2 linked regions of the Nothobranchius furzeri genome follow. Each later gene encodes a partner of the first gene's protein in a complex. Links are inferred from orthologs where the notes say so. Each region holds a gene or a part of one and is shown on either strand. Other genes may lie near its edges. The genes, in order: metal transporter CNNM3 and ptp4a3a.

What was found.
Region 2: the proteins of metal transporter CNNM3 (region 1) and ptp4a3a are in contact, whole or in part, in a crystal structure (PDB 5TSR), measured with the Homo sapiens proteins. The link is inferred for Nothobranchius furzeri from reciprocal best matches to the Homo sapiens genes CNNM3 and PTP4A3. Residues at the interface, in NP_060093.3 of Homo sapiens: Ser357, Asn358, Phe394, Asp396, Lys418, Val419, Asn421, Glu424, Gly425, Asp426, Pro427, Phe428, Tyr429; in NP_001425170.1 of Homo sapiens: Asn5, Pro7, Asp72, Gly73, Ala74, Val105, Ala106, Leu108, Gly109, Arg110, Arg137, Arg138, Gly139, Ala140, Ile141, Asn142, Lys144, Gln145.

Annotation. Positions count from the first base shown.
Region 1 is NC_091746.1:39,505,970-39,510,318, forward strand, and holds the start of metal transporter CNNM3, read left to right. Parts: upstream 1-1,477; 5' UTR 1,478-1,578; coding exon 1,579-2,262; intron 2,263-2,335; coding exon 2,336-2,670; intron 2,671-3,769; coding exon 3,770-3,946; intron 3,947-4,349. UniProt on the Homo sapiens protein: Probable metal transporter.
Region 2 is NC_091745.1:41,275,761-41,280,306, forward strand, and holds the start of ptp4a3a (protein tyrosine phosphatase type IVA 3), read left to right. Parts: upstream 1-1,743; 5' UTR 1,744-2,000; intron 2,001-2,230; exon of another isoform or gene 2,231-2,418; intron 2,419-3,770; 5' UTR 3,771-4,206; intron 4,207-4,546. UniProt on the Homo sapiens protein: Protein tyrosine phosphatase which stimulates progression from G1 into S phase during mitosis. Enhances cell proliferation, cell motility and invasive activity, and promotes cancer metastasis.

The sequences.
Region 1 (4,349 bases):
AGATCACTGTAGCTGAGCTCCAGAGATGCAGTCAGGAGATGGGAGAAAAGTTGTAGAAATTCAACCATCACTGCAGCCCTCCACCAGTCAGGGTTTTATGGCAGAGTGGCCTGTTGGAAGCCTCTCAGTGCAAGACACATGAAAGCCCGCATGGAGTTTGCTAAAAGACACCTGAGATGGTGAGAAATAAGATTATCTGGTCTAATGAGACAAAGATAGAACGTTTTGGCCTTAATTCTAAGTGTTGTGTGTGGGGAAGCCCAAGCACTGCTCATCACTTGTCCAATAGTCTCCACAGCGAAGCATGGCGGTGGCAGCATCATGGGGGGAGGGGTTAAAATGATAAATGACCCGCACTTGTATAGCGCCCCTCAGAGTAAGGACTCCAAAGCGCTTTACACTACAGTGTAAAGCGCTTTGGAGTCCTTACAGGTTCCCTGCAACTGAACCTGGATTCAGGTTCAGTTGCAGGGACAGGATGACTGGTTGCAATCAAGGGAACAATGAATGAGGCCAAGTACAGGAATATCCTGGACGAGAATCTTCTCCAGAGTGCTCAGGGACCTCAAATTGGGGTTAGGTTTACCTTCCAACCTGACAATGGCCCTGAGCACACAGCTAAAATAACAAAGGAATGGCATCACGACAACTTTGTGTGGCTGTTCTTGAATGGCCAAGTCAATATGGGGTGTGTGTACATTAATGAGGAATTAAATGAATTTAATTGATTTTAGCAAATGCCTGCAAAATAACAAAGAGTGGAAAATTGACGGGGGTCTGAATACTTTCTGTACCCACGGTATATGTGGGCCCAATAATGAAGAAATTATTTGGTCGAGTATATCTTCCATTCATAAATGACTTGTGCTGGATCCCATACTGCCCGCCCTTCAACTCACTCACAGATATTGTCAAAATCTGCCAGACTGTTTCATAATTTTTAAGATGTTGTCCTTCTTAACCAGTTCTAATGCTGCCAGGAATGCCTGGTAGCCATTATTTACATTTTTTAAACCAATGGCGAATTGTAAATATCCCAAGACTGGTTTATGGTGGCCTGAGGAAACAAAGAATAAAACAGGAGAATTGAAAGCGTGTGTTATTCAAGCCATGTTGCTGTCTGTTGTCAGCACTAATAGATAACTTTATTCTGTAAAGCACTAGGATGATAAAAACATGGCATACATCTAATTGAATTTGTAACTCATTAGCAATCGATTTCAGACGGACATGGAAAAGGTAAACCTATTTATGAGCTCTGAATAAACGTTAAAAGGCAAACAAAGCGCCTTCGTCAGCCACAGTCATGAGGGGCTTGTTTCGATGAATGTTAACAAAGATGGGCGTGAACTCATCGCTGCGAACTCTCACAGCCAACGGGCGGCGTGTTGAAAACAAAAACATTCAGAATCCAGCTCCAAAATGACCGCTCATCTCCCGACTCCTCCCGTCTTCAGCTTGGGTGGCTTGAGCCAAAATGTCCGCCCCCGGTGCGCAGCTTCATGAGTTCTCCAGGTGGGCGGGGCCGCCAAGCAAGAGTCACGTGACCCGCGCAGAGCAAGGCTGACTATCTCCAATATGGTGGCCAGCTTGGCAGGTCTACGGGTTCTGTGGATGATAATAGTGTTGCTCTGCGGGATTAGAGACAGCGCCTGCGGCCAAGAAGTTCCGCAGGTTGTGGGGCTGCGACTGGAGGACCCGGAAGAGCTGGTGTGCATGAAGGACCGGATTATCTCAGCGCCAGAAGGAGCCACGTTCAAGCTCCGTCTCTTTGGGGCTAACCTGAATGGAAGCTGGCCGAAAGTCGCGTTCGCTGAGGCGGCTGACGGAGCCACGGGGGCGGTCGGTGATGCCCCCGACCCGTGCGAAGACGAGTCCAGCCGTCTGGAGTCCGCCTTCCAGGTGACGAAGGACTTCATCCCGGACGAGGAGTTCAGCGGACTGCTGACTGTGGAGGTGAAGGGCAGCGGGCGCAGCCTCCACCACCTGTGTGCGCTGAGCGGGGGCAGGTGGGCTTCTGTTGGCCCGGACAGACTCCGGATCAGTCCCGAGGAGAGTCCCGGAGCAGACTACATCCCGCCGTGGGGTCTGGCCCTCCTGGTGGTGCTGCTGCTGCTGATGTGCGGAGTGTTCCGGACGGTGAACCTGAGCCTGCTGTGGCTGGACCCGGTGGAGCTTTACGTGCTCCACAGCTGCGGGTCCGAGGAGGAGAAACGAGCCGCCAAGCGCCTGGAGCCCGTCAGGAGAAGAGGGAACTTCCTGGTGAGTTTCTGAGCCCAGCAGGTCGGGAAGGCAGCTTTGTGTCCGTGTTCCCACCATTCCTGTTTCCGTCCAGACCTGTTCGCTGCTGTTCCTGTGCGCGTTGGGACACTCGGTCCTGGGGGTGCTGCTGTACAAGGCGCTGGGGTGCATCGTCTCCGCGGTCTTTACCAGCGGATTCCTCATCTTCTTCCTGGCTGAGCTGGCTCCTCACATCCTGTGCTCCGACTACGGCTTTCAGATGGCGCCCGCGCTCACCTGGCTGGCCCAGGTGTGCATGATTCTCACCTGCCCTCTGTCCTGCCCTTTGGGGCTGATCCTGGACCTGGGCCTGGGAAGGGACATCAGCACCTGTGGGATAAGGCAGAGAGCCATGGAGATGATCCGAGCCAGTGTCAACGACCCATACAGGTAAAATAACTTTGTTGGTAAACATAAGGATCTAAAATAAGGGTTTGAATCATCCGGAGAAGAACTGATCTGAGAGGCTAAAACAGGACTTGGTCTAAGTTCCTTTCAGACACCTTCAGTTTGATCTGTGACTTTGTCTGATGGCTTAAAAACTATAAGTATAATTTTTTAAATAAAAACATGCAAAAATGTTATTATTGTGATACTGCAGAAGTATCCAGACCCCTTGAACTTTGACACATTTTAGTTTAGTTTAGTTTATTTCAAACAAAGAAAATGTACATAATTTTTTAAAAAGTACCACAAACAGAAAAAATACATATCATCCCATCTGTGTTTGAAAAGGAGTAGGCTGAAGTGGAAACTTATATATCCCTACCCCTTTATACAAGTCATTTTTACTTGTTTACTTAAATCTAACACAAAACCTACATTAAAACAAACAATTTACAACCACACTTTACTGAGATTTTCTGTGATAGAAGACAACGTAGCACACAATTGTGAAGTGGAATTAAGCTGATTCAAGGTTAACCAAACAGAAACCTGAAATTGTGCACCATTCTGCGTCTAAAGAGACTTACGGTTTTAAACAGACATGCATGTTTTTGGTCTGTGGGAAGGAAACTAGGAAAACTGGAGAAAATTCATGGATGCATGTAGCAAAGCATAACTTCATGCAGAAAGGCTGCTGCTGGGATTAAACCTGCAACCTTCTTGCTCTGACACAACAGTGTTACCAACTGCAACACCATGCAGTCTCAAAGACTTTGATATAGTGGTCTTGGAAATAAAAATGAAGAGAATAAACAAAAAAAAACCAACCTTGAAGCTTGGAGTTTGAAATCTTTGTGCAAAGACTTAAGTCCTGACCTTTCCGTGGACTCAGTCCAGAGTCCAGACAACTAGTAAGTAAATTTTATTTGTATAGCACTTATCACAGACATAGAATCACAAAGTGCGTCACATAGATCAAAACAAAACAAAGTCATCAAATCATAATGATCTCAAAACAGAAATAGATTAACATCAGAAAAAATAAAGTCGTAAACTAAACACTCTAACGTTGTCTGTTGTCTTTGTGTGCTTGTGTGTGCAGTGAGTTTGTGAAGGAGGAGTTCAGCCGTGGGATGCTGCGTACAAAGACAGTGGAGGACATCCTGACTCCTCTGAAGGACTGCTTCATGCTGCAGAGCTCAGCTGTTCTCGACTTTTCCACCATGTCGGAGATCATGCAGAGCGGGTACACCCGGGTGCCCATCTACGAAGAGGAGAGGTGGGAGCAACAGCACAGGGATATGTCTTATTATTACGCTAATGTTTTTATTTGAGTTCATCGTGTTGCAACATGCAGTGCAAAAAGTCAAGTCAGAAAGAATTTGAGCAAAGGGTTTGCATGTTTGGGGATGTTAGATCGGACTTTTTTTATACCTTTTAATCAAATGAAAACCCTAATTTTTACATATTCCTATTATTCACGTTACAGTTTTACATATAAGAAAACAGTTTACTTCTAATCAGCTTCATCATTTTCTCATATTTTAGTTCTGACTGGTGAGCAGGCTGGTTTGAGATGTAAACAAACATAAGTGCTGGGATCCAAACACCAGGGGGCGCTGTAGCAGACGTTACATCTGTGTGATCAGGCTGCTTTCAGCAACTAAAAATACTTTCTGCAT
Region 2 (4,546 bases), on another chromosome or scaffold:
TGGTGCTGCTGTTATCCAGTCTGAGGAGAGATGTTCAAATATCAGGAAACAAGAGCTCAAATCCTGCCATCTGAAGCTACTTTCTCCTCCAGCGGACTTGTACTTCCTGATTCAGGAGCACTGAATGACTTCCAAGGTATTCATTCTTACTAGAGACCACTGCAAATGTATTGATTAAACAAGTATTTTTAACACTTCTGATTCAGTTACAATAAAGTTCAGACCTTCATGACGACGGTGGCACAGGAGTTAAGTGCTCGCCCTGTAATCGGAAGGTTGCAGGTTGGAGTCCCGCTCAGTCTGTCGCTGTCATTGTGTCCTTGGGCAAGACACTTAACCCACGTTGCCTGCTGGTGGTGGTCGGAGGGACCGGTGGCGCCAGTGCTCGGCAGCCTCCCCTCTGTCAGTGCGCCCCAGGGCAGCTGTGGCTACATCGTAGCTCATCACCACCAGTGTGTGAATGTGTGTGTGAATGGATGAATGACTGATTGTGTTGAAAAGCGCCTTGGGGGGTTCCAGGACTCTAGAACAGGGGTGTCAAATGTGCGGCCCGCGGGCCGATTCCGGCCCGCAAGTGGGTTAAATACGGCCCGCAAGATGGTTGTGTAAACTTTATTTTCATACTTTACAATGTAGAGTGAAAATAAACTCATCTTTGTGAGCAAGTTTTCTCTTTAATGAGTATAAATAAAACAAAGCTGCGCTCAAGGCTCGCACAAGAACTTGAATCACAACCTGAAGTTGGCCGCCACTCAGGATGTGACTTCTGATATTGATGTGCTGGTGAAAGCTAAAAGATGTAAAGTAAAATGAGTCAAATATACTTTAAGTGCTGCATGAAACTGATCTAGCCTTGTGATCTGTAAGCTCTTTGAATCACGAATGTTTTTTTATTGATTGATTTTTGATTTTTTTTCAAATTTTCAAGTACACTTCAGGTGTTGTACTATTTTGGATACACTGTCCAGCCTTGTTTTATATTCTTAGGTGTGTTCTTGCTGTGTCTTTGTAAATCCATGCTTTCGTTCTTTTTTAAACACAGAAGCTGCCCGCAGATAAACGGAGAAGGAAGTGACGCGCCACCATCAGCGTCAGCCTGAAGAAGCCGGCAGCTGTCGGCGAAACCGTAGCTACAAACAGTTAAACAAAACTGTTTCTGTGTTTAAAAAAGAACGAAAGCATGGACTTGTTTTATATTGATTGTATTAAAACAAGGAAAACAATCTGAAGTTGTTTTTAATTTACCGGTCCGGCCCACTTGGGACTAGATTTCCCTCAATGTGGCCCCTTAGCTAACATGAGTTTGACACCCCTGCTCTAGAAGGTGCTATATCAAATACAGACCATTTACCATTCTGAAGAAATAACCACAAGGTCAGAAATACAAAGTGATGTAAAATGTTCTAAAATCCACTTTACCATTTTTTAAAATGAGAGTCGTTTTAGAACAACAAAAATCTGTGCTCTCGTTCTCTCTGTGACTCGTCGTGAGCTCATCTGTTTAGACAGAACTAATCCCTAATTCTACAAACATTTTGTACAAAGATCTTTCTACAACAGGTCTGAATGTAGCTGTTCCCCAGCCACGTCAACACTTTCCTTCAGGACGAGGAGCATTTATGTTACAGAACGTTATCATCTCTCCAAGAGCATTAACTCTGGTTGGTTCTGGTGGTGACGGGACCGTCAGGATCAGATGGCCGCTTAGCCTGATTAAACCAGCTCACAGCAGATCCTCAGCACACTGCTGAGGTGGAGCTACAAACAGGCACATGCAGCGCCGAGCAGGACAGAAGGACACAGAGGACAGCTGAATGTTGTAGAGGGACGAAGCTACAAGTTTCTGCAGGAAGACTTACCCTCCCTGCAGTTGGACTAAGGAACACCTCAGCCACTTGTTGCAGAAGGACTAAAACTATAAGCAGAATTTCATTGAGGCAGAGAGCCAAACATTTCTAAACCTATTTCTGCATTAGGAGAGACCCCTCAGGAACTAAAAGGTACAGTTTGTTTGACTCATTGCTGCCGTTTCATGAAAAAGCTGTAAAATTTGTTGTGGCACTTGAAGAATGTCGAAAAAAGCAAGAATTCCAATGAATGGTTTCTTGGATTGTTATTGAGCTTAAGAAACTCTCTGGAATGCCTCAAACACTAGATGTGCTGTACAATCACCCGCTGGTACAGATGGAGCTATAAATACAGCTGTGGGTGTTTAGGAGGTTTACTATAACAGGCAGTCAGCTGGTCGGATGTCAGCTCCCAAACGTCGGTGCAGCTGCTGAGGCTCCTGCAGAACTCTTGTGTTTTTGTGGACTTGCCTGAGCTGAAGCTGGGAGGTGAGAGAAGTGAGAGTTACATATTTAATTTGAGTGACCTGGATGATTCACTCTGCCGCCGCAGCTGTTTTGGGCACTAGAGGTAAGTGTGGGATTTATGCTGCTGTTGCACCTTGTTGTTAAGAGCAGCGTGCCTCAGTCTGACTTACGATGCTGCCACGCACTGGCACAACAGCTGGCCTTCGGGTCTTTTGGGTTCTGACCTCACCTCACATCAACGGAAAAGACTGTCTTGTCTTAAAACAAAATAAAGAGTCACGCTCTTACGTACACGGCGTGCTTTAGATGTCTTCTAGTTGTGTAGGACTGCTTCTCACACCGTCTCCTCACAAACAGATAAATATTGTTAGTTTTAACGTTTCTAATTGACTCTGTGTAAAACAAGCTACCTCCACCCTGACTATTATTAACAGCAAGAGATAAATTCCTAATTATAGATCGTCAACATCCTATTTTGGTTCTGGTAGAGTGTTATAGGTGAGGACAGATTACCTCCAGGGCTTTTCCTGGTAATATTTCTGAGTGTTTAGGGAGGGAGCAGAAGGTTACACCTAACTCAGAATGTTACCTTTCTATTGCTCAACGCCCCCCTCATTAGACAAAATAATCACCCTGTCTGGGTCGTTTAACAGGGAACGTTTATCAGCAGAACTGAACTTTTCTATCGTTTAATCTATTAGCAGTGCTGATTCGTCACATTTAGAGAGATTTTGTGTAATGAGAGACGGGTTGGAGATGTATGTAGATGATTTTTTTTATTTTATAAATCCAGGGAATTTAAAAGCATTTTATTCCTTATAAATTTGGCAGAAAATCACGTTTTCTTTTTCTTTACTCCTGATCAACAACCCAAGTAAATATAAACAAACAGCCCATTTAAGATGAAAACAGAAGAAATATCATCAATACTCAGAATCGGTGACAAATAGGAACAACAACGATGAAGGTAACAAAATGGAAGCTAAATGGAAATCAAAAACAATTTCCTTTTATAATAACTTTCTGTATTCAGACCCATTCGCTGGTTCCTTTCTGGTTCGATAAGTGATCCTCTTTCTGAGTTTTGTTTATTGTTGTTATTGTTAATTAACAAATTTAAGCCATTTGCATCAGTTACATGACTGGTTTGTTGCACAAGTCAAAGGCAGTCAAAAGGTCAGAGGAGGTACGACTTGTTTCTATAAAGATGCCACAATCCATCTCCTCGTTCAGGAGAGCCATCTCTGGTGACGAACGTGCACGATGAGTCATTTATTTATGTATGGTTAAAAAGATTTGACATTCATGTGATCTAAACATCCAGGATTTATAGGATTTGCCTGCTACGTTGTAGCATATTTGAATAATAATGGTGATTTGTGTGTGTGTGTGTGTGTGTGTGTGTGTGCGTGCGTGCGTGCGTGCGTGTGTGTGTGTGTGTGTTTTGTATTCCAGAACTGCCGGTTGATGGAGTTTGTGAGGCAGAGTGGTGACTATTGCCACGCTCAACACCTTTAGACCGTGTTGGGATGACACAGCGGCATGCAGTCCTGGGGCCATGAACCTTGAAAGATCACGGCCCTTTGCCTTATGAACCCATCAGCTCATGGGGTCACAAGTGGAGCCTCAACACCCAAAGCTAGCTGGAGTGAAAAGGAGAGAGAAAAAGTCACCGAGGACAACAAAGAAAGACAGGATTAGTGACAATAGCAGAGGGGATCACTAAACTGACAGCGAGTAGCCACATGGACTATAGAAAACTGTCATCAGATAGGAGAGCAGCCCAGAGCCTCAGAGCTGGGGACACACAGTAAATAGTTGCTACGAGGAAGAAGTCTTGATTCATCTGAAGATCTGATCTTCAGCCAGACTGCTACAGCTGGAGCTAAAGGTGAGGATGCGCCGCATCTGGGATGACTGATGTGATGCTCCAACAAGAGGGTTCTGCAGGGGTGTTTGTAGATTTCACACCAGATTCAGAAAGCTCCCGTCTAAAGGCTCTTAGATTAGTCTAAGTGCTGCAAAGCGATGACTTGGATTTGCTGGGAAGAATGAAACTGTGACACGGAGATATGTCTCCTTTCTGATAAAATGCACACGTCTTGGCATTAAATAACAAAATTATTCAGAATAAGTGTTTCAATTCTAAGATACTTTATTAATCCCAGAGGGAAATTAGAGTTTCAGTACACACAATTCAGAGATCAGACATACATGGGCAAAGACACATG